Caenorhabditis elegans: one gene and its partners. The protein of the gene in region 3 purifies or fractionates together with the protein of the main gene of each other region. This does not show direct contact. Each region holds a gene or a part of one and is shown on either strand. Other genes may lie near its edges.

Region 1 (7,182 bases), 3.7 Mb from region 3:
GATGAAAAAGCCTAATTTTGGTTGATTTTGAAGATTAAAACACGAATAAATCGATTTTTAACGGCAAATTTAATAAAATAGTGCATTTTCAAACAAAAAAACCCAAATTTTCACTACAAATTAGGAAATTTAATGAAAAACGATAGTTTTTTTTCACAATTTCAAAATTTAAAAAATATTTTTTTAATTCAATTTTAACGTCAAAGTACTGAAATTAAAGATTTTTCAGCGGAAAAAGCACATTTTCCAACAAAAAAATTAGATGCTGTGTGAAAAAACGAATTTCGCGTTTTTTTCACGATTTGAAAATTTAAAAAACGAAATAACCGATACTTTAACGCTAAAAACGAAAAAAATTGTTTTTTCCAAAAAGTTACAGTTTCCGTGTAAATTGGTAAAAATTTACGGTTTGTTCACATAAATTTGTAGATAAGTTTTTTCAAAAACTTTGATTTTGATATTTTTCTTCCAGTTTTCAAAATTAAAATCGAAAAATGGCCGTTTTTAACGAAAAATCTGCAATTTTGACAAAAAGCGGTCAGTGTGAAATTTTTTTTCAATTTGAGAAAAATAGGAAGAATTCGATTTTCAAAGGCATGGGAGCATACTAAAAGCATATTTTTTAATTTTAACAAAGTAAAAAAGATTTATCGCAGTTTTAAGGATTTAAATTCGATTTTTAAAAATGATAAACTATATAGACAAGCCGAAAATTTCATCTCAAAATTTTTTTAAAAATTAAACGAAAAACGGGCAAACACAGGCCTCCCAGAACGTCTCACAAGCATACGGAGTGAAGCGTCACGATGAGAGAACGAGGCCACTGTAGAGACGCAGAGATACAGCGACAATCGATGCGCACACATTGGGTAAGAGACGCAGACGGCGTGCGTTGAACCTGTGCACTGGTCAGTCAGTCAGTATGGCAATGAGAAGGTCCAGGAGGAGGGAGGCTATGCGCTTGCATAATGAAATGTCTATATCTCTCTTTGTTTGCATTGTGTTGTCTTGCTGCTCCGCAAACAATCTGTGAACATACGGTCTGGAGGGGGATACAGAGCATTGCGTGAGCCCATCTTCTATCATAAATTACTTCCAGGTGGTCCGGATTAATGAGGTGATTTCTTAGAATTTATTTGCGTCACTGTGATTTTTTCTGATTATCGAGAAATAAATGAAAATTTTCTTTTTTTTTAATTTTTCGGATAAAATAAAAAAATTAATTTAAGAAATTTTAATAATTTTTAATGATATTTAACTGAAAAAAAGTACATTTTTCGGAACAAAAATGAATTTTAAGTCTTAATTTTCATTTATTTTTTGAAAAAATGGCCCGTTTTCGGTGTCAAAACTACTGTACCTGGTCTCGAAGCGAAGATTTTTTATGCCAAATATTGTGCGCCTTTAAAGAGTACTGTAATTTCCAAATTTCATTTCTGCAGAATTTTCCTTAATTTGCCATAGTTTTTATGATAAAAAGTAAAAAAAAAAGTTTAAAATGTCAGAAATTCTATCAGAACTGGAGAGAAAATATGAAAATTGTTTTTTTTTTTCAAATTTTTTTACAGTTTTTCTCCAGTTATGTTGAAATTTATAATATTTTACAGTTTTCTTGTATTTTTTAATTTTTTATTTGAGTTTATCTTTTTTTTTTAATCGATAATTTATCGAAAAACTACAAAAAATCAATAAAAATTCCGCAACAACGAAAGTTTAAAACTACAGTACTCTTTAAAGGCGCACATCCTTCTGCAACTAAAAAAATTGTCGCTTCGATACCAGCTACCGTATTTTTAGCGAAAAAATCGCATTTTTCACGATTATTCTTCGATTTTGTCTGAAAAATTGGTAAAAACTGAAAAGTTAGGCTCCTGGACTTTTTTATTTAGAATTTTTCTGAAAAAAAAAAGTTTTTGCCGAATTTTATGCCAAATATTGTAAAATTTTAAAACGTTTTAAATTACTACCTAATAAAACTGAAAAAATAAAAAAAAAAGAGAACTCTACGAAAGGAAAATCAAAGAAAAAACTAATTTTTTGGGTTTTTAGAATATTTGATTTTTTTAAAACAATTTCAGTGTAAAAGTAAGAAATAGACATTGAAATTTACAAAAAAACGGCATTTTTTTTCGAAAAAAAAAAGTGATTTTGCACTTTATAAGATGAAGATAGTAACAAAAACAGACAACAATAAAATGAAAAAACTGCAAAAAATCAATTAAATAATTCCCCAAATCTCCTCAAGTCCACTGGTCACTTTGGCACAAGTCAACGCTGCACTCAATGGATAATTGCTGATCTTGGTCTCAGAATCGTTGTAATCGACGACGATCTTTCCACGAGCAATTCCACCGATAATAAGGACCAGAGGCTCGTCGGTTTCCGGTGCAACAAGCTTATTAGCCATTGTTAGCTCAGGTACATTGAACGACATGAGCATCTTACGGGATCCCACTGGAAGATGGTTCGACACTGGATTCTTCACTACTGACATCAGCTTTTGAGTGGTTTCGGCGGCTCGAATGGAGAGTTTGTGCAGGAGTTGGACTGAAAATATGGAAAATAGAAAATAGGGGGATTTTGCATAAAAATACCTAATTGCAAGAAAAGTCACAAAAAATCCAATAAAAAGTATTTTAAAGCATGTTTTTGAAAATTGGATTTTTGTGCTCTTTTTTGTGAATTTTTTTTTGATTTTCAGACTATTTTGGGGTATTTTGAATCCGGGTATTTTTAAAAGGAAAAGGGTATTTTTAAAAATTTATGTTTAAATTTGATAAAAAATAATTTTTAAAAAACTCGAAAAATTGTCTTTTTTCTTATTTTACATACAAAAACACTTCAAAATATATTTTTTTCAATTTCCAATAAACCAAAAACTCACCCATAAGTCCACAGAATCGATCAAAAGTTCTTGGAATTCTGCACTGTGGTGAGACATCAACGAGCACATTCTTGCTCGTTCTAAAGAAGACACGAAGCTTTCCGGCTCTGTTAAGCGGACTATCAAGTAGATTCAACAAGCATTGATGTAGGATATCTGGCCGATAATCAGCCGGATCTTTTTTCTGTTTTCTCAGAAAATTCGCGTGTTTATCACTGCTCAAAATTGCGTATTCTCCACCGACTTTTGCAGTTTCAAGACTACATCCTTCCAGTACAACGTACAAAATCTTCTTGTCCTCCAATTGATTATCCGTCTTCATGCGCTTCGCATTTGGCGGTGCAACTGTATCGTACTCGTGGGACATCTGAAATTCGGAGAAATTAATTTTTTTTGTCATAAAGTAATTTTTTTAGGACCAAAAATCGAATTTTCAATAATTCTGATGAAAAAAAAATTATTTTCTGAATAATATTGTGATTTTTTATAGTTTAGCACAAATTTTAAATAAAAGCTGTGGGAACAACGATAGGTCGTTCTGTAAAATTTTCGAAAAAATGCCGCTTTTTTGGAAATAAAATTGAGTTTTTCGACTTTTGGAAAAATTTCTAATTTTCCATATCTATCAATATAGGAATATACATAATTTTTGATAAATTAAAAGTTTTCACTTCTTTTTTCGTTTTTCGATATTTTTTCGTCAAAAACACTGAAAAATTTCTGCGGAGAAAATGTAAGTCGAAAATCAAAAAACTCAAAAACTCAAAAACGAAAAAATTTGTAAATTTGAACGGTTTTTCAAAAATTTCAGTGAGTTCCTTTTTTTGTCGAATTTCCCCTAAAACATGAAAATTTAACTAAATATTTTATTTCGGGATTTTTGAATTAACGAAAAATGGTTTTATTTTATTTTTTCGATTTTTGAAGCTCCTGTAAAGATTTTTATAAAACAAGTTCAAAAAATAATATGATGGTTTTTAAACCGAAAATAATTCTCACAGAAAAAAAAACTCAACAAAAATATAAATATCGAGATCAATCTTCATTGCAAATAGTACAAAAAATATCAAAATTACTTCAAAATAGTCATAAAAAAGTCGGAAACAACTCGCGGGAGCTGCAACTTCGAGATCGAGTCCTCCACAATTTTATCATTGATATGAAGCCAAACTTTTCTGAAAAAAAAGAGGATTTGAGGTGAATTTTTCAGCTGAAAAAAAAACCCACCGAAACGAGGTATTTGTCACATTTGTGCTCTCGTCTGCCTTCAAAATTCCCATTTTAACGAGATGATCCAATTCTCGGAATACGTAGACATCACTGCTCACGTTCAGTGGAGGATAGTGTTGATTAACGAGTTTTTTGAATTCTGAAATTACGGAGAAAATAGATTTTTAAAAAATAAGCTTAAAATTTTCATGTTTTTTCTCATCAATATAATCGAAAATTAGATTTAAAAAAAATCATATTTTATGGTTAATTTTCTGAACATTTTCTTAATTTTTCGGAAATTCAAAAAATCGAAAAATTTTTCGTTTTTCAATTTTTAAAAATTCGAAAAATCGAAAATTCCGAGATAAATTTTAAAAAATACCTAGAAAAACGTTTCGATACGAAGTTTTTGGCGCCAAAAGTGGTCCATCTGACTCTTTATTCTGCACAAGTCTCCAGACACAAAGAAAAACGCATTGTGCTCGAACTGTTTGATCTGAAAATTTGAAAAATTTTTAGAATTTCACTGGAATTATTAAATTTTTGAGCCGAAAAAACAGTATATAATTAGTTTTTTCTAGATTTTACCGGATTTTTTTAATTTTTCAGAAAAATTTCAAAAGCTGTAAAGATTAAAATAGGTTTTGATTGAAAATCACGATTTTTGCATGATTTTTTACATTTTAAAGTTGTTTAAAATTTGAAATTTGTTCCGAAAAAAAAAGGTAAAAAATTACTTTATCAGCTCAATTTCCAGATTTGAAATCAGAATTTTTAATTCTTTGCGGAATTTCAAAAAGTGAACTTGAATTGTTCATTTTTTGTTTTCAAAATTAGAAAATCGTGGGTTTTTTCTGCCTTTTTCAAAGTTTTAGCAGAATTTCTACCTTTTAAAATCAACAATTTTCCATTATACGAGGGAGAAGTCGTCTCGACAATTTTACGAATCTGTTTGCTGATTTCCTCGGGTTTCCACGTGTCTTCTACGTCACAATAGTAACCGAAAAGCATCAGGAATTGCGCGGCCAATTGTTTCAGAACGACGTAGTGACTTGTCTGAGAATATGGACTTTAATGGGGGTTGAAAAGCCGAAAAATATGATTTTATTTGTTTTATTTTCATTTTTGGAATGAAAATGTTATCCAATTTAATTATCGTAAGATTGTACGGATATCTCATGCTAAATTGGCTATAAAATCATGAAATACCCTCGCATTTTATGAGAATTAAATTGGATAACATTTTCTTTCTAAAAAGAAAATAAAAAAAAACAACTACAATTTTTGATGAAAAAAATCAAAAAAAAAGGTGGAAAATTTGAGTTTTTTCAGCTTTTTCGTGAAATTTTCAGCTTTTAAGAATGCTTCTTCACCAAATCTCACCTCAAAAACCGGCCTAAGCCATGTCTGAAAGTTCAAATTCTTCACAAATCTCTTATAGCACTCGGATTCTTCGCATTTTGAGCCGCCAGGAATCAAAAACTGCGTCAACGCTGCACAATACTCCTCATAATCGTGTGTCGCGTCAAATGACACCTGAATTTTCGGAATTCTCGACGTCGCCTGTTTCTGAAGGTTCTGAGCGAAATCGTGTCGGGAAACGGAGAAAAAGACGAGCCACGAGAAGTGTGTCGCCTTGTCAACCATCGTGTAGAGGAACTTTTGCTGCTGTGGAGTGATTAATTTGTCGGCGTCTCGCACTAAAAACACAAAATATCCTTCGTCATCCTCCTTTGCGAGTTCCTGCTGATAATTTGGATCGGCGGCAACGAAGCCTGCGTTGATTACTCGTAATTCCTTGTGATATTTGTTGAGAACCTTCCGAAGTGTGCTTTCTCGGCCGCAATTTCGTTCTCCTGCAATGAAAATCGATAAAAAATTGTTGAAAATTCAATATTTAAATGGAGAAAACTGCGAAATTTTGTATAATTTTGAGTACATTAGATGACGTTTCAATAAGGAAAATGAGCAAATTAACAACTTTATTTTTAAAAAATCAACAAAAAACCGTGCCGCACTGTCATAATGGGCTCAAAAGACCGAAAATTAAGAGATTTCTCGCAAAAATCTAAAATTTTAGGCAAATTTTAAGCCGGAAAATGAGCCGAAATATGCATTAAACTATATTAAATTATTAAAAACTATGTTCGAGCTGAAGCCAAAAGATAAATTAGGAGAAATACCAGATTTACCAAGATTCCGCTTTTTTTCGAACTTTTTCGGTCGTTAGAGCAGATTTTGAGGCGACAATAAATTTACCTTCAAGAAGAGCACATTTTCCATCTTTCGACTGCAGAAAATCATAGACAATATTCTCGATTTGCCTGAAAATAGATAAAATATTTGGGAAAATCACAAATTTTCAATAGCAAGTCCAGTGGGGCGCGCTTGCATCAGGCACTCACCTCTCTTGTTCCGTTAGTCCGAAGACCTGATCGTCGAGCAAATCAAGAGCTCGCCGAGCATTTTCCGCTACAATTTCTTGATCGGAAGGTGATAGCATTCTGGGAAATGTTTAACAAATTATTTTGATAAAAATTTAGAAGAAAAAGTATAAAAAACAGGTGGAAAACTGCTTGGTGATTGAAATGACTCCGGTAAAGTCACAGCAAACTCAAAGTCCATATTTTATTTTAATTGGAATTTTAATGCAAAATAAGTCAAAAAAGAATCTAAATAGAACGTCCTTGGAGGATAACACATAAATATAAAATTTAAATTGAATAAATCGATTTATTCTTCTCAATCGCCGCTTTGATCGCCTTTTCAGCTTCCATCGACGTCATTCCCAGCTTCACACGTCGATTCATCATTCCGTGATCTCCTTTCGACAGATTTATCAATGAAGTGCTCGCCAGTTGAAGGAGCATTCCGTAGGCGAAGCTATCGGTGGCCGGGCCGATTCCAGAGACTTCTGAGCAGATTATGCAGTAGTTTTTGTAGATGTTTGCGAAGATGATCTCCTCTTGTTCGCGGGTCTACAAAATATTCAATTTTAGGAAATGTTCAAATTTCAGAACAGTTCAAGGTTTTTTGCACAAATTTTAAATGATTTCCTTACTAGTTTTTTCTGAGAAAATTTAAAA
Region 2 (8,004 bases), on a different chromosome or scaffold from region 3:
TGAAAAACAATGACTGTTTTACCCTTAAAAAATCCAAGTGATAGATACAGTAGTTGCTTCTGCGGTAAAACACTTTGTACATTTTCGAAACACAATCCATCATTTCATAGTACGTGAATTCAATTCTCTCACATTGCCTTTCGTAAGTTTCTTTGTTTTTTTGAGCCTCGGTGCAATTGAATTGACCAAAACATGTCTGAAATGTAACATAAAACATAAATGAATACAAATATACAAAGAACCTACCGGTATCTTGTTGCAAGTTGTATTGATATTTTTTGCGATCTCTGATGTAACTTGAATGTTTGAATATTCATTCGTTAAATTCATCAAATTGTTCACATAAGGGGTGCACTTCGCATTTATCTCAGCTTTCTCACTTTGTGTGCAAACGTTTAAAGACGAATTCAATTTTGTGGACTTGGATTCGATATAGTTGAAACATGTGAACAATGGAATCACCCAGCAAATAGACAACCTCATGTCTAAATAATGAACCAAAACTGTTACATGGAAATATATTATACTCTCTGTAGTTTAATCTGAATGATCCACACTAATCCATATTTCATAGAAGTTCTTTCTGAACAATACATAACACATTTTTCCGGTGTCAAACGGCAAACGGGGCAAAGCGTGTAGGAAGGGGGAATCTATTTTTCTATTTTTTCGTCTGTCAATCTATTTTTCGTAAGTCAATCTATTTTTCGTCTGTCAATCTATTTTTCGTCTGTCATTCTATTTTTTTTTGTATGTCAATCTATTTTTCGTCTGTCAATCTATTTTCGTCTGTCAATCTATTTTTCGTCTGTCAATCTATTTTTCGTCTGTCAATCTATTTTTCGTCTGTCAATCTATTTTTCGTCTGCCAATCTATTTTTCGTCTGTCAATCTATTTTTTCGTCTGTCAATCTATTTTTCTTCTGTCAATCTATTTTTCGTCTGTCAATCTATTTTTCGTCTGTCAATCTATTTTTCGTCTGTCAATCTATTTTTCGTCTGCCAATCTATTTTCTTCGTCTGCCAATCTATTTTTCGTCGGTCAATCTATTTTTCGTCTGTCAATCTATTTTTCGTCTGCCAATCTATTTTTCGTCTGTCAATCTATTTTTTCGTCTGTCAATCTATTTTTTCGTCTGCCAATCTATTTTTCGTCTGTCAATCTATTTTTTCGTCTGCCAATCTATTTTTCGTCTGTGAATCTATTTTTTCGTCTGTTAATCTATTTTTTCGTCTGTCAATCTATTTTTTCGTCTGCCAATCTATTTCTCGTCTGCCAATCTATTTTTCGTCTGTCAATCTATTTTTCGTCTGTCAATCTATTTTTCGTCTGTCAATCTATTTTTTCGTCTTTTTTTTTTGTTTTTATTTTAATCTATTTGTTTAATTGCAAAAGGACAGCCGGCGAGCACGTGTCTCTTGTAAATTTCCTAAATTTCAAAAAATTCAAGTGTTTTATTTAAAATTTTGAGTAATGCGGAATTTGAATTGCCTTGAAGCATACTTATTTGGGATAAAAATAAAAAATAAGGTTATATATTTGGGTTGCAACATTTTTTTCAAAATATCCTGAGTAGTTAAAGAAAACAGTAAGTTCTATAAAATTTATATATGAAATCTTAATTCTCGAAATAGGTTTTTTTGAAATAACGTTAGAAAATGCAGTCCAAGTCTACAACAAGTTTTTTAGAAAACACGACACATTTTTAATCAGTCTAAATCTACCAGTGTACTAGACTTTCAAAAAATAAATAAATACAAAGATACGGTATTCAAAAATGTAGAATGTTTATTTTGCAAAATTATTTAAATTAAATTGCCTTCCGTTGAATTGGTGTTCTTTTGATAATTGTCCCAATTGATATCGAAATTCGTCAAAATTCCATCTCCACACATGCCAGTCATGACGTATTGTATGCATTCCTTGTTTTTTAGGAGTTCTGTATTATTCTGTGGATCATGAAATTTTTCATCAATGAAACACGGAAAAGTTTTCGCGTCTTCCCGGGTTCTTACTTCATTTAAGCAGAGATTGAATACGTCTTCATACATCACATTGCAAAGTTCGACGGTTTCGTTGGTGCGGTCTTCAGAAAAGTAAGAGCTTTTCATGCAGGTCTGAAACGTATTTATGTGAAATATTTTAGAAATGGATTTATCTTTACGCATACAAGTCGGGCAAATTTCAAATTTTAATTTTAGGTCATTTTTTGAGTCCCCATCTTTTAAAAAAAGTTTTCAGAAGGTTCCATTATGAAATTCGGAGTTTTCAAACAATTTCGACAACATTACAAGCAATAGTATGCCAGATAAGTTGTTTTATGAATTTATTTCTAAAACTCCCATTTTTGAATTATACTTATTTTAAACTGACGCAAAAATCAGCGAAAAATTGAAAATGCATGTTGCCAAACTTTAACTGGGCTCCCATGAGGTCGGCGCCTTCGCCTGCCTCAGCGGTCGCCGCGCCGGTTTCACCGCATCTACCACGCCACATGTATAGTGCGGCGAGGAACCGCGAACGTGTCGGCCGCTTCCAAATAACCACCTTTCGCACTTCGCTGCACACACACAGCGGCGCGCGACGTAGGCGTGAAGCCGGCTCGTGGCTCGCATTTTGCACTTCACTCAGCGGGAAGCCCTAAGCTAAACTATATTTTATCAATCAAAGCAACATTTCTAAAGGCATTATTGTCCCAACTATTTTGTTCTAACATTAAATCTAACCTTCAACTCATCACAGACTGACGTCGGCTTGGACCAGCGTTTCTTCTCAAAGGTTCGCCATGCTTCTGTGGTTTTTTCATGAGTCGTCAGTTCTATTGAGGACTTCATTTCGCTTTTCAAAACAATTATTTCTTCATTCATTTTGTCCTTCACAGGATCACACCGTTTTGATACCAACTCATGGAACAAAGAATGGCCGTGGTGTTTAGTACTCATAATATCCACAAATCTTTCGTAATATGAATCTAGATATTCCAATGCTTTTTTGTCGCATTTTGTTCTTAAAGCAATTCCTTTAACACATTCTTCTCCACTGACATATGATTTACGACGACTGTCCGGATCTTTCTGAAAATGTTTGTTTCTTAGTTTTACGGACTTTTTTTTTTCAAATTTTGCTAAAATAAAAATAAATTAAAGACTGAATCCTTTTGGAATGACCGCACAGTGATGTTGGAAGGTATTTCAAAAGTAATCCCGCCTTATAAAATGTTTTTTTAAAGTTGGAATAATTATTTTTAAAATATAATATTATTTTCAAAATTGGTTACCTATGTTATATTATGCAAAACAAAATACCTACTGATCACGTGGTGTCAGGTTGGCCCATAGCTTTACTGCACACAAAAGGCGGGAAAACATTTTTTTTAAATTTGTTTTTTCACATTAATCATCGATTCTCGTGGATTTTTTTGTAATTTTTCGATGAGGGCATGTAATACACAAGTACCGTTAATTAAATTTTACTTGTCTTACCGTCAAAAAATTTATGCCAAAGCTACAGAAGTAGTCTCCGCGGTAATACAATGCGTATATTTTCGAAACACAATCCATCATTTCATAATATGTGAATTCAATTTTTTCGCATTTTCTCTCGTAAGTTTCTTTGTTTTTTTGAGCTTCCGTGCAATTGAATTGACCAAAACATGTCTGGAATGTAACATAAAACATAAATGAATACAAATATACAAAGAACCTACCGGTATCTTGTTGCAAGTTGTATTGATATTTTTTGCGATCTCTGATGTAACTTGAATGTTTGAATATTCATTCGTTAAATTCATCAAATTGTTCACATAAGGGGTGCACTTCGCATTTATCTCAGCTTTCTCACTTTGTGTGCAAACGTTTAAAGACGAATTCAATTTTGTGGACTTGGATTCGATATAGTTGAAACATGTGAACAATGGAATCACCCAGCAAATAGACAACCTCATGTCTAAATAATGAACCAAAACTGTTACATGGAAATATATTATACTCTCTGTAGTTTAATCTGAATGATCCACACTAATCCATACTTCATCGAAAAGAGAGTGATCTGCCTATGTTCTTTCTGACCAAATAGTTACTTCACACATTTTTCCGTTGTCGGAATAACCACTTCTATGACGCCAAAATGATCAAATATCACAGTAAATTTTTTTCAAAAAACGTGAAGTTTTTTAGATGAACTTCAAGCGATTGAGATGGTCTCAAGAAGATACAAAACAAAAATATAATTCTCGTTAGACAGGTTTATGCAATATATGAGTTGAGAAAAAAATTACGTATGTACTTGTTTGCAAATGCTGTAAACTAGAAAAAGATCACAAAAAATCATGGTTTACGGAAAATTAATCGATGGAGTTTATCTGTAATAGTTATTGAATTTTTGTCAGAAAAATACGACAAATATTTATTACTCAAACTATAGTGATGCAGGCAACTATGAAGAGAATAGTTGATTTAAAAAAAGATGCAATAATCTTTAATATATAATATTTATTCTTCACCAGCACTTTTTTCATTAGAATTAGTTATGCCGCTTGTGGAATTATTGTTCTTCCGGTAGTTGTTCCATTTTCTATCAAAGTCCGTCAAAATTTCATCTCCACAATCCAACTTCAATAGAAGTACTTGAAATTGGGTTTTCTGTTCTATTAGTCATCATTAACTATTTTTTTTTGTTGTTAAATGCCCGTTTGAGGGGTGTATATTAGATCATAGTAAGTGTACCTAAACTAAACTCCCTTTTATTATGTTCCACATTTGATTAAGTAATCTTTATTCGATGTTACTCTAAATGTAATTAATTCATTATTTTACAGTTTTTATTTATGTATATCACGAATGTTAAGTGAATTTAATACATTTAAAGCATTTTGAATTCTTCCACTACCAATAAATTTGTGTTCTCCTCAAACTGGAGTTTCTCAAAGTGAATTTATCACGGAGACTTGTGCATTGTTCTTACAACACATTGATATTTTATCTGAAATAAAATTAATTTACCAGTAAACCGCCAAATTTACTAAACGTTTCAAACTAACTTTTAATAATATTTCTATACTCGGAAACAACTAGTGCGACTGAAATACAATCACACGGCGGATAAAATCCAACAAGCGAATACAGGTTCCCAGACTGCCAATCCACTTCAATTCCAACGATTGGTGCCAAAAATGGAGCTATCAAGATTGGCACGGCAGGTGTTATCAGAAACATTGTTGGTACTAACGCCTGTATGACAAGTGCAATGAAGTATTGCCGTTGTAAATTTTGGTTCTGGACAGAGAACTTTTCCAATTCCTTCTTCATGTTGAAATGCATTTTTAGACTGCAGAATATGATGATGGAGAAATGAAAATTGATGAGAGATGATGCGATCAAAAGGAATATTATACTAGTATGTATAACAGAGCCATCAGAATTATAAGGTGTTAATGAGAACCTAGCGAGTTCAGATACATTTAATCCATAATTCTCTGCTACAGAGTCTCTGGAAAATGCACTACTTGAAATTTGCCGAACGTTCAAGATGGTACTATTTACCTGACATATTCATCTGTATAATCATTAGGTGCACATAAATACTTTATAGTGCTAGCATAGCAAATTCCTGGTAGTAAAGGATACAACATCCATAAGCCGCCTTTGAATCCTTCAAAAAACCTGGTTTTTGAACTGTCAAATAAGCATAAATATCTGTATATGAACAGGACGGATATAAATGAGAAAGTTGTTAGATAAAAGCACGACCACACCGTTATGAAGGCATTGCTGATATTAATTGGTAATTGAAAATTGGTAGCGCTGAAGTACAATAGCGTACCATTGTAGTTGTGGGTGAATGGTTTTGAAATAGCTTCAAAGCCCGAAAACATGAGTCCCAGGGCAGCGAAGACAACGATCATTCGTTTATATGGTACTGATATGTTTTTAATATATTTAATTGTGATGAAGATGAAGAGGGAGTTCGCGATGCATCCAGAAAAGAATCCAAACGCTGTGAAAAAGCCAAATAACTTGAACATGAACATTACGAGCAGTTGTGATGTTCAAAAGAAGATATTAGGCGGGAGTATCTTACAGAAGAGGCATGTTTACGTCACGCGGATTTGAACATAATCAACATAGGGAAATTAGAGCACAGACTTCTAAACTATCATAACATAATCTATTGGAAAGAAATGTCTACCAACTTGATATATTTGCCCAATGCGATTTCGGTATAAAAATTGAAAGGAAATCAGAACAATTGGTGAACCGAGACCCGTGTTGTTTGGTATAGTCGACAAACCGAAATTATAACGCGTGCGTCTGAAACTAATACGACTAACCATGTTTTATGTTTTCTAGGTTGTCAGTAACTATATATAATTCCTGAACGACCCACAAAAAATAGGGTGTATTTTTTGAATGACGTCATAGACTCTGCTATACGCCTCTTACACAGTGAGAGCTCGTAATATAGATTTTAAAACTTTTGTAATAGTGGATTAAGATTTAAACTTTCAAGAAAAAGTTATCTAAAAGTGTATTTATTCAATTGAATTAGTTATACAATTTATTATTCTCGAAACATCAAATTCAGCTCAAAAAAGCACTGGCTGAGTAACTATTGCTGTTGAAACCACCGAAACCACCGAAACGCCGCACAATTTCTCTGAAACATTTGAATATCATGATATACATTATACTTCCGAAACTAACGTTTAACGATTGTTTTATATTCTGAAACAATTAACATAAATGCAATACTGTCAAATGGAGCATTAAAGCCAACAAGGGCAAATAAGTTGCCCGTCTGCCAGTCGACATCAATTTTGAGAATAGGCGAGAGCAACGGTGCGAAGAAAATTGGGATGGTCGGAATGATCAGAAAAATAGTTGGACCGATTATTTGTACGATGAGCGCTTTGAAAAATTGACGGTGAAGCGTCTGGTTTTTGACGGAAAACTTTGCCAGTTCTATTTTCATGGAGATGTGCATTTTGTAGCAGCACACTATAATGATAAAATAGTGAAAACTTATTGAAGAAATTCCTATGATCAAATATATAACTGTATTCCACCGTAAGGATCCATCGGCAGAAAATGCGATCATAGAGTATCTTGGCAACTTTGACACCTCGAGCCCGTAATTTTTACTTATTGTAGCTCTGAAAAATAAGATGAACTTGCAGATAACATGGTATAAGATTATTTTCAGAGAAGCCACTCACTGTACGTAACTATCGGAATATTCATCGGCTGCACACAGAAAATTCATGGAAATAGTGTAGAATGCCCCTGGCACTAAGGGATAAATTATCCAAAAAACAGTTTTGACGCCATCAAATTTTTTTGTTGCATTGTAGTTAGTCAAACAAAGATATCTATAGACAAATTGTACTGCTATAAATGCAACTACAATTATATAAAACGCGCTCCAAGATGACATTAATAAAGATACAAAAGTTTCAGGCAACTCGCTTGTACTGAAATATAGTAGAGAACCGTTATAGTTGTGAGAAAACGGTTTTGCGGTAATTTCTAATGCTGAAAATACAATTCCAAGCGTTGAAAAATAAATGACCATTCGTTTGTAGGTTCCGAACAAATTTTTCACGTAAAAAGCAGTGAGAAATATTAGAATGAGATTGGTAAAAGTGCTGGCAAAGAACTCAACAATTGTGAATACATGGGATAGTTCAAACAGTGTCAGAGCCGACATTTTCAAACTATGCAAGGAAGTGAAAAAGTAATAGTTATAGCCTGAAAGGCTTCTCAACACGATATAATAAATTAGCACTACTGTATGTGGACAGCGGAAATTGGAAAGTTCTGTTTTTGTATTCTCAGAAAAATATAAATTTTATGGTCGCAGACAATATAATATTAGACTTTATGGCGGATGCTTCACTAGTCTGAAAGGAAATTTTGAACTACTAAAATTCTTGGCATGCAATGAAAGAGCTAAAACTTTATTAACAAAACTATGTGCAAATAATGAAGTATTACATTATTACAGAT
Region 3 (9,723 bases):
TCTTAAAGGCGCACATTTGTTTGTATTTTACAAAATTAATCGCGTCGAGACTAGGTATCGTATTTTCGGCGCAAAACTCCCAAAACTTCGCGTCTGTGTAATAATAAATTACCGATAGGCTTGTCGACTCTCATCAGTTGAAGATATGGCTTCAAATTTGGCGGAGAAGAAGCAACAAGGCTACTTGCAGTTGGTATCAGTGACATTGGTTGTTTTGTACTAAAATTATAACAATTAAAATTAAAATTTTCGAATTCTGAACCTAGTGGAAATCCATCTTTTTGTTGATTCATCTAAACTATATGAAGTGCTTGTATTTGATCCAACAATGCAATTAATCGAATTGGATCTTCTAGCGATACCTATTGACCTGGTTATCATTTTTTTTTGACGAATCTGAAAACTTTCTCTCGTCAAAGACATGATAACATGAATTTGAAAAAACAAGCATTAAGTTAGGGACGAAAACCTTTGCTCTTTGAAACTAATACTTTGTATTTAGAAAATCAACAACAATTTCATTTGAATGAGGAAGAGAGTAACATAACCAACAATGATGAATAAAAAACAAAGAAATGAACAATTTTTGGGGAGGGGCGCGGGGAAACGAACAATAATGGAAATAGAAGAAAAGAGCAAAGCCTACGTGCAGAATAGAGTGAAAGCGGGAAATATTTCTCTTCTGCGTCTCTTTCTGTTTGTGTGTGATTTAGAATTCCATACTATCCGTCTTTCGGCCTTCGACCACAACTGAAGTGATAACATGTCCGTCTTCGGTTTCCTTGGATTCGAGCTCACGGCGAATTTCAGGCGAGATGAGATAGTGTCCATGGAACTATAAATTGAAATTGGTTAAAAACAATGGAAACATTGAACTCATGGGACCATAAAACTTCGGAAATTACCTGACTTAAACTTTATAATTATGAAAAAAAAATTTACGTGACCAATGATGTGAACCCATACGCCAGGAAAAAAATTAAAAAAAAGAAGAAAACACGCATAAGATCGATCAGAAGTGAAATTTTAATCATTTCGATAATCGTAGAAATTAATTCTACACTCTTTTCACATAATTGGCGCAATGGAGATCAATGAGCAACCATTCTTTCACGGACTTCTTCCACGAGAAGAAGTAAAGGTAATTTGAGAGTAATATTTATTTAAAAGGAGCACCGACTTTTTCAGCTTTTACTTCAAAAAAATGGCGATTATCTGATGAGAACGTCAGAGCCTCAAGGACAAGCACGTCATTTGATCATTTCGGTGATGCAGAACGAGACAAGTCAAGAAGTTGCTCATTATGTGATTCGTACAAGCGACGGAGCATATTCAATCACTGATAAAATTAAATTTGGAACATTGACTGAGTTAGTAAATCATCACAAACAGGCTAAAATTAGTGAGGTACGAGCGATTCATGCACATTATAGACTAATTATTGTTGTTCAGGAAGTTGCAAGCAGTGTTCTAGTGAATCCTATCGGTAGACAATCATGGGAACTGAATCACGCCGATATTACAATGACAAAAGTTCTTGGTGAAGGTGCTTTCGGAGAAGTAAAGCTTGGGACGCTGAAAATGGGATCGACTACAGTAGATGTCGCTATAAAAGTTGTGAGTTGGACTAGACTTTTATATAAAAAGTAATGACGAAACTTCAGGCAAAACTTGAAAAAGTGACTAAAGAACAAATCAAGGAGATCATCACAGAAGCACGTCTGATGCGCGGATTCGATCACAAGAACGTTGTAAAATGTTACGGCGTGGCTGCAATCGATGAACCATTGCTAGTAGTCATGGAGTTAGTTCCTGGTGGTGCTCTGGATAAATATCTTCAGAAGAATTCATCGGTACAATGGCCTGAGAAACTGGATATAATCGCACAAGTGGCAGCTGGTCTGGCATACATTCACAGCAAAAACATTATACACAGGGACATTGCGGCCAGAAACATACTCTATGGAAAAGGCGTTGTATGTTATAAATAATTTAAAAGTTAATAACTAATAACGTTCAGGCTAAAGTCTCTGACTTCGGTTTATCTCGAGTTGGAACGGAGTATCAGATGGATCCGAGCAAAAGAGTTCCAATCAGATGGCTCTCACCAGAAACGATCGTTTCCTTCCTTTATACTCCACAAACTGATGTGTTTGCTTTCTCGATTCTCTGCTGGGAGGTGATCGAGAATGGAGCTCAGCCGTATCCGGAGATGTTGGTGGTGCAGGTACATCAGAAGGTTGGACGCGATGATTACCGTATGCCGATTAGTCAAAAGGCTCCAGCTATGCTTGCCGATGTTATTGTAAGTTCTATTTCATTCCACTATTTTCATAGCAATGTGGAATTTTCCAGAAAAAGTGCTGGATTCGCGATCCTCAACAGCGCCCCACTATGAGCCAAGTTGTCCAGATGATGTACGAAATCACAGGAAAGAAAGATAAAACCTCGGTCAACAAGTCGACAGGACAGCTCCGTGCAAAAATGATGTCTACTGGACCAATGTCAGATCCGATGAGAGATAAAACTGCTAAAAAGACTGGAAGACGTAACAAGAAGAAACCGTCAAGCGCATCGAACGGTCCAGGTGGCAACTCTGGGCCTAGTTCGGGTCCATTGTCTGGTAAGGATTCGAGACTGAAGAAGCCATGAAAATAACTCTCCTAACTAGATGTTCTCGTGATAATAAAACTCGAAGTTTTAATAGTTTTTAAAAATTAAACTTACTCTGATCAGCTCATAAATAGCTGCCTTCTGCTCGGCATTCAAATCGTTCTTGTATCGCTGGCACAGTGCCAAAAGACACTGATGCCACAAAACTGGCATATCTCGTTCATCGGTTTTCAGACGAATGAAGTGATTAACGACTCCGTCGACTGCACGATACGGTAAAGCATACTTCTTATCAATGAGAGCTCGAAGAAACACGGAATTAGCTCCAGTGTATTCCATTTCGGCAATCTGAAATATCAACAGGTTTTTGATGAGATATTTTAAAACAAAAGTTACCCTAAGCATAGCAGCAGCGGAATGAAAAATTGGAATCGGGACTTTGGTGAGGACAGAGCTGAAGATAACAGCTTCACGAAGTGTACATGTTCCAGACTGAGAAAAAAAGAATATACATGAAAAATATTTAAGTTAAACTCACTTCTAATAATGGAAGAATCAATCCTTTGAAGAAAGCGGCAGGCTTGTAGATAGCTTTGCAGAGGGCTTGATACAGATGATAGTTAAGTTTCTTGAATTCATCAATGTCGTCACGAAGACGTGGGAGAAGAACAAGAGTGTAGAATCTGAATCAAACGGTTTTAGAGCTGATATATCTAAAATCGGCATTTAAATACCTCTGACACATTTTTGGGTTCATGTTCGACGCAAACAATCTTGTGGCTTGATACATAGCAGCAGCCGTCCAAGTTTCAGGCTTTGTGAGGCTGAATATGTTTTATTTTATTCAAATCCGATACTAACAGACAACTAACAAAAGAATTTGCTCCCAGTTAATCATTTTTGGAATGATTTTGAATGCTTTTGGGACTTTTCCACTGCGATATTTTGACATATACTGTCCAATCTGCTCATACATCTCAACTACTTCTGGGTCCATGTCACGCATCTGTAAACATTTTGTTATGCTTCAAGGCTCGATGCTTAAAAATTACATTAAACTCATTCGGATCAACTTGGCTGAGTGCAAGCTCTGCATCATTCTGTTTAGCTTCAATTTTGGCTTGAATAATATCGTAGAGTGTGGACATTTGGATAGCATCTTTTTTGAGGAATCTAGCCAAATCAGCTTCATCTCGAGGATCGAGTTCCTATAAATGGAGTTTAACATTATTATCACGAAGCTAAATAGATTTTACTTACAACAACTTGATCTTCAAATCCATTGTCGTCTTCTTCTTCATTATCATCATCATCATCGTCCGATTTGTCGCCGGATGCATCAGCTCCAAGCCAAGCTCCGCGTTGTCTGTAACAGAAATACTTGCATTGAATTATGATAAATTGTTTATTTACCTTTTTGGAACACTAGATGTGGCTGATTCGGTTTCTTGTCTTTCCAGTGCCTCTTCGAGAAGCTGCTTACGAGCTTCATTCAAGATTTTTGATGAGAGCGAATCAGGAACGAACTGAAACTAATTTTATGAACTCTCTGGTCAATGAAAATAATATTTAATTTTCCCTGAATATTTACTGACCTCGTCTGTCTGCGAGTCTTCCCTTTTTCTCTTCTGCTTTTCGCGAAGCTCATCTCGTTGCTTTGCAACTTTACCAGCTTCCAACTGGTTATCCAGTGGAGCATTGGCTGATAATTTGTCACCCCTTCCTTTCAAATTCCTTTTCACCATGTTACTGGAAATTCATAATTAAAAATTAGCAGAATTACGGTGTTCAATATATTCTGAAAGGATCAGAAGCCTGTTCATAAGATTTAAAATGAATGTAACATACGCAATTTCATTATTTTCCAGAAAAAGAGAACGCCAGACAAAAACATTTTGTCAAACAAAACCAAGGTGGCTCTATAACTTTTAGGGGGCAATACTAAACTCTAAATTGAAAGAGAATTAGAATGTTTGAACCAAGTTGGATGGGATAGGGCCAGTACTAAAAAGGGGTGATTAAAAAGATGAAATCACGCATAAAATAAAAATGTGGGACGGTGGGGGTGGAGGAGAAAACAGATAACATGGATAAATATGAGGAAACAAGAGGAAGGGAAAAGCGTGTGGAACAATCGTGGAGGGGATCGGAATTGGATTAAAATTTAGATGAGGTCAGCGATTGATTCTGGCATCTCTTCGATTTGAGTGGTGTAGTAGCTTTCAATTTCCTTGAGCTGACGAGCATCGTTCTCGGTGACGAAGTTGATGGCAACTCCCTTACGACCGAAACGTCCAGAACGTCCGATACGATGGATGTAGTTCTCACGATTGGATGGGAGATCATAGTTGATAACAAGTGAGACCTAAAATATATACATTCCATAGTATTGAATTATAAACACAAATATTTATACTTACCTGTTGTACGTCAATACCACGAGCCAAGATGTCTGTGGTGATGAGAACACGGGAAGATCCTGAACGGAACTCTCGCATAATTGTATCACGCTCAGCTTGATCCATGTCTCCGTGGAGGCAAGAGACTGTGAACTGATTTTCAGTCATTTTCTCGGTGAGTGTGTCGACCTTCCTGCGAGTGTTACAGAAGATGACGGCTTGAGTAACATTGACAACGTTGTAGAGATCACAGAGGCAGTCAAACTTCCACTCCTGAAAAAATGGTTCATGAAAACAATTTCTTAGACTGGGCGAGTAAACTTACATCCTTTTGAACGTTGATGTAGAACTGTCTGATACCTTCAAGGGTGAGCTCGTCCTTCTTGACAAGAATGCGGATTGGATTGCGCATGAAACGATTAGTGACATCAAGAACTTCAGATGGCATAGTAGCCGAAAGAAGGACTACTTGAACGTCTTGTGGCATGGAACGGAAAACCTCGTAGATCTGATCCTTGAAACCTCTAGAAAGCATTTCGTCGGCCTCGTCGAGAACGAACATCTTAATTCTGGATGTGTCAAGAGCATTTCTATTGATCATGTCTCCAACACGTCCTGGAGTTCCGACAACGACGTGAATTCCGGCTTCGAGTTTTCGTTGATCGTCGCGAACACTGGTTCCACCGATACATGGAAGAATGTTAACGTTGAGGTACTCTCCGAGGGCGCTCATGACCTTTTGGATCTACAAAGAAAGATTTTGAAAAGTTTTCTTTAAAAGTATCTGCTAATAATCTATAACTAAAATACACTGAGTGAGAAAGTTTACCTGTTGAGCCAATTCTCTGGTTGGGGCCATAACGAGAGCTTGCACGTGTGGATCCTCGTGGTCGATTCTCTGAAGAATAGAGACCGAGAAAGTTGCAGTCTTTCCAGTTCCAGATTGGGCTTGAGCGATGACGTCCTTTCCAGTGGTGCATGGAACAATTGCGCGCTTTTGAATAGCAGATGGCTTTTCGAAACCGAATCCGTAGATTCCGCGAAGAAGCTCCTCCTTGAGCTCCATGTCGTCGAAAGATTCGACGACTTGATCATAGTTTCCCTAAAATTGAATGTATTCAAATTATAATAAATTATGTACATTAACTAACCTCGATCAAGCCGTCGGCATCGACCACCGAAGATACGTTCACATCATTTTTAACATCGGTCATGACAGGTGGGTTGAAAAGTTAAAAATTAACTTTTGGAAGTGCGATTGAGTTTCTGAAATTGAAGTAAAATGAAATTTCGAAAGTATTTCAGCATTAAATACAAAGATAAGGGTGTTGAAATAGTTCTTCAATAATAATAATTGCGAAATACAGTATCTCAATCCTAAAATTTTCGAATAAACCCATCCAAAAGAAATGAAAGAAAAGTTTCGACCTAAAAACCTTTGTTTTTTTGAGAAAAAGCATTTGAAATAAATATATTCTTAACACGAAAAGCATAAAAAACGTTTAAAAAAGCTTTAAAATCTAAAAAGAGGCTAAGAAACCGCCCCAAAACCGGGCCAAATCATTCGAACAAGAGTGACGGGTCTCGAAGCGAAGAGAGTGTTCATTAGAGCGCACATTCATACCATCAATTTTTTTTGAAGAAAAATGGCTCTTTTTTATTTGACCAATTCAATTCTTTATAATTTTTATGTACATTTGGTTATACACATTTTTGAATTCATTTTTAAAATAATTTTAATGATATAGATTCAAAATCTATACTTTTTCCGTTTTTTGAATGCAACCTGCGTAAAAAAAAGACGAGTAATCACTAACACTGACGACAGTGACATGCACTTAAAAGTGGTTCGAAATTTAAAAAATTAATTTGGATTTTTGAAGCCAAAGTAAATAATAAGGAAAGTTAGAAGGCTGAGTGTGTATGAGGTCCTCATAAAGAAAGTGAGAAATGTTGGTTGAACGATGAGAGAGCACAGCGAGCAGACTGGTCAATTTAGGCAAATGAGCGCGACGAATGAGAGTAAGAGCCGTAGAGAGCACAGCGTGCGGTGTTCCAGACGCGATGAATAAGAGAGAAACGAGAAGAACACCATCTGCTCTTCAAAAACACCTGTTGACACCGAATTAGGGGCTTGGTTAAATGCCAAAAACTGCATTGTTCGTGGATTAGGAAGAAATTGACCTATGTAGACTGTTTTGTATTGTGAACAAGAATAAATATTAAATACAGAGAAGAAAAGGTATCTGAAATCAAATAAAAAAAAGAGATCAAATTCATTGTCATGTTCACAGGCCATAAAAATCCTGAATTTTGCGGAAGGCTGTTCTCCCTCATTTCCCTCCTCCTCACTCAACCCTCACACATATTGACATAAATCTCGAAAGACGGAATCCGCGCGGACACAACGCGCGTTGGAAACATTACACTCATTTTCACTGCTGCTTCCTCTCTGTTCGTTATTGATTTTTCGCCATTTAAAATATTCAAATTCTCCTTTCTTGTGCACACACCATAAACACATACAATTTTCAGAAATCATGAGCTCATACCCATCCAGTGGTCGCCGGCGACCTATCACCCGATCAGAAGCCGAAGAAAGAGCATTAGACAAAATTTCCAGAGAGGTATCTTAACAATTTGAAAAATTCGAATTAAAAACTAAAAGTTTTAGGCGGAAGCTCGAATGAAATTGAAACGAGAAACACGAGAACAAGCCCGACAAGGAAGATATCAGTTGTTAGAAAAAAAAGTTGAAGAAGATGCGGAAGCTTATCGTCATGATACTGCTGTAAGTCGATTATTAACGAGAATGCACGTTTGACGTTGAAGTTTTACTCTCGAAACTACGTTTTTCATTTTCAGTAACCCTTCGTTTTTAATATTAATAAATTTTCGTTGAAAAAGTTCAAAAAGTATCCTGATTTCCATAAATTATTCTTGATTTCTTTTAAAGAAAAACTACATGTTCGTTATTGATTTTTCACGCAAAATTAAGATGCCCTAAAATAAAGTTTCTTAAATGTTTTTATAATCAAAAAATCTTGCGAAATTAATTATCCTAGAAAATCAAAAATAAATTTCGCTATTTTTCGTCCAAAATACGGTACTCTTTCTCGACACGACAAATTAGTGTTAAATAAAAAAAAGGACCGCTCCTTTAAAGAGTACTGTAATTTCATATTCGAAAAAACAAGGAAAAAAAATCGTTGAAAATACCATAGTAACGAAAGTTTCATATTACAGTACTTTTAAAAGGTGCATACCTTTTTTATTTAACAAAGCATTGTCGTGTCAGGACCTAGTACCGTATTATTTGCGCAAACTTTCGCGACTGGGTAATATAAACACCGAAATTCCTGGAGATCCAAAAAATGTTAGTTCGTAGAGTTCGAGTTCACTACTGCCGTATTAAAAAAAATCTAAGTTTTTAAATTAATGTCTAACTATTCTCGTGTTACTTTATATTTTAACCCCAATTAACATAAATTTTCCTTTTGAGAAACTGTTTGTTGTTAATTGCAGTCAACATCTAACACGAATGGAGTGTCATCCCAATCTAATCAGACACAGGAACAGTTGCATGTGAGTGATCTAAATTGTTTTTAACAATATATAAATTCATAATTCACAGGATAAAGTGATCGAGCTCCAAGATCGTGTTCAACAAGTCATGTTTCTATATTCTCAACTGGATAATGAGAAATCAACGTTACTTTATGAGGTGTTTTATTCGAAAGTATTTATGAAAAAATCTTAATTTCCAGGTTGATCTTCTGAAAGATGAACTTGAAGAGAAGGATGCATCCTTGAATTTATCATCTCGAGAATGTCGTGATCTTACGAGTGAAGTTAAAGCTTTAAAACGGACCATCGACGCGTTACACGCTTCTCAACAGCAGCTGAAACAAGAAATTTCACAGCGAGATCAGCTTATACAGGTGGGCGTATAATTGTTAAAACCAGCAAAAGATAAAATCGATTTTAAAAAAACCTGAGAAGCTAGGAAAGTCCTTTGTTCTGATTTCAAGAGACTCTTTAAAATATACTTAATATTGCAAAGCAAAATTTAAATTGGGGTTTTACTCGTATTGCTCTGTAAGTAATTATTTCAGGAAAATGGTCTATGTCTTGTCGAAGAAGATCCGGATGATGAAGGATCCGAATCAACGAATAACGCTTCTGGAGAAATGTAAGTTTTTTTTTTGCATGAAACTGGTTTTAGTAATTTCTGAAACTAAAATAAAAATTTCGGGCCAAAAAATTAAATTTATAAAAAACCAAAAAAAAAAGACCAAACCGATTAGAAACCATTAAAAACCACATTTTTCTAAAAAAATTTTTTTTGCAATATATGAAAATTTTTCGTCAAAAAAGCATTCAAAAAAAGTCTAGAACTGATTGAAAAAGATAGAGTCACTTTTCCAAATATATTTAGAATACTCTGTAAATTTTCTTTCAAGTTTTCGAGAAAAAAATTGAATGCGTATATTGAAACTGACTGTAAATGCTAACAGTTTCTTTAATATATATGATGTTAGGTTTTTAGTATTATAGAAGTCACTTTGAACAATTTCCCCACTAAAAACCGTTATTTCGCCTTTAAATAATACCTTGTTAGAAGGAAAAAGCCAAATTCTAAAATATGAACAATTTTTCGTAACTGTGATGTGCCACGCGTTGACTTCATGTTTGACTTTTTCAAATATCT

Evidence for each region.
Region 1: the proteins of byn-1 (region 3) and emg-1 fractionate together in Caenorhabditis elegans (co-fractionation; one large-scale study listed by BioGRID). This does not show direct contact.
Region 2: the proteins of byn-1 (region 3) and Y73C8C.4 fractionate together in Caenorhabditis elegans (co-fractionation; one large-scale study listed by BioGRID). This does not show direct contact.

The regions. Positions count from the first base shown.
Region 1 is NC_003281.10:10,645,588-10,652,769, reverse strand, and holds emg-1 (Ribosomal RNA small subunit methyltransferase nep-1), read right to left. Parts: upstream 3,252-7,182; coding exon 2,885-3,251; intron 2,548-2,884; coding exon 2,219-2,547; 3' UTR 1,862-2,218; downstream 1-1,861. Other genes in the region: orc-4 (ORC (Origin Recognition Complex) subunit), read right to left, coding at 3,957-4,059, 4,112-4,253, 4,479-4,592, 4,984-5,152, 5,480-5,952, 6,356-6,420, 6,502-6,599; orc-1 (Origin recognition complex subunit 1), read right to left, coding at 6,811-7,074.
Region 2 is NC_003283.11:3,098,206-3,106,209, forward strand, and holds Y73C8C.4 (T20D4.11-like domain-containing protein), read right to left. Parts: upstream 3,945-8,004; coding exon 3,708-3,944; intron 3,658-3,707; coding exon 3,484-3,657; intron 3,076-3,483; coding exon 2,728-3,075; intron 2,119-2,727; coding exon 1,807-2,118; 3' UTR 1,713-1,806; downstream 1-1,712. Other genes in the region: str-66 (Seven TM Receptor), read right to left, coding at 4,923-4,981, 5,040-5,488, 5,542-6,029; str-69 (Seven TM Receptor), read right to left, coding at 6,585-6,655, 6,703-7,151, 7,215-7,705.
Region 3 is NC_003281.10:6,926,640-6,936,362, reverse strand, and holds byn-1 (Cell adhesion protein byn-1), read right to left. Parts: upstream 4,363-9,723; 5' UTR 4,359-4,362; coding exon 4,209-4,358; intron 4,140-4,208; coding exon 4,027-4,139; intron 3,980-4,026; coding exon 3,874-3,979; intron 3,822-3,873; coding exon 3,666-3,821; intron 3,620-3,665; coding exon 3,486-3,619; intron 3,438-3,485; coding exon 3,348-3,437; intron 3,297-3,347; coding exon 3,152-3,296; intron 3,106-3,151; coding exon 3,010-3,105; intron 2,962-3,009; coding exon 2,728-2,961; intron 2,703-2,727; exon of another isoform or gene 2,653-2,702; coding exon of another isoform or gene 2,356-2,652; intron 2,306-2,355; coding exon of another isoform or gene 2,021-2,305; intron 1,977-2,020; coding exon of another isoform or gene 1,665-1,976; intron 1,618-1,664; coding exon of another isoform or gene 1,453-1,617; intron 1,408-1,452; coding exon of another isoform or gene 1,189-1,407; intron 1,142-1,188; coding exon of another isoform or gene 1,085-1,141; exon of another isoform or gene 1,044-1,084; intron 836-1,043; coding exon 710-835; 3' UTR 501-709; downstream 1-500. Other genes in the region: coq-2 (4-hydroxybenzoate polyprenyltransferase, mitochondrial), read right to left, coding at 113-219, 263-381; F57B9.8 (Tyrosine-protein kinase), read left to right, coding at 1,085-1,141, 1,189-1,407, 1,453-1,617, 1,665-1,976, 2,021-2,305, 2,356-2,652; inf-1 (Eukaryotic initiation factor 4A), read right to left, coding at 4,778-4,978, 5,034-5,285, 5,338-5,757, 5,842-6,114, 6,164-6,226; flap-1 (Leucine-rich repeat flightless-interacting protein 2), read left to right, coding at 7,553-7,639, 7,687-7,803, 8,538-8,597, 8,647-8,736, 8,780-8,953, 9,128-9,204.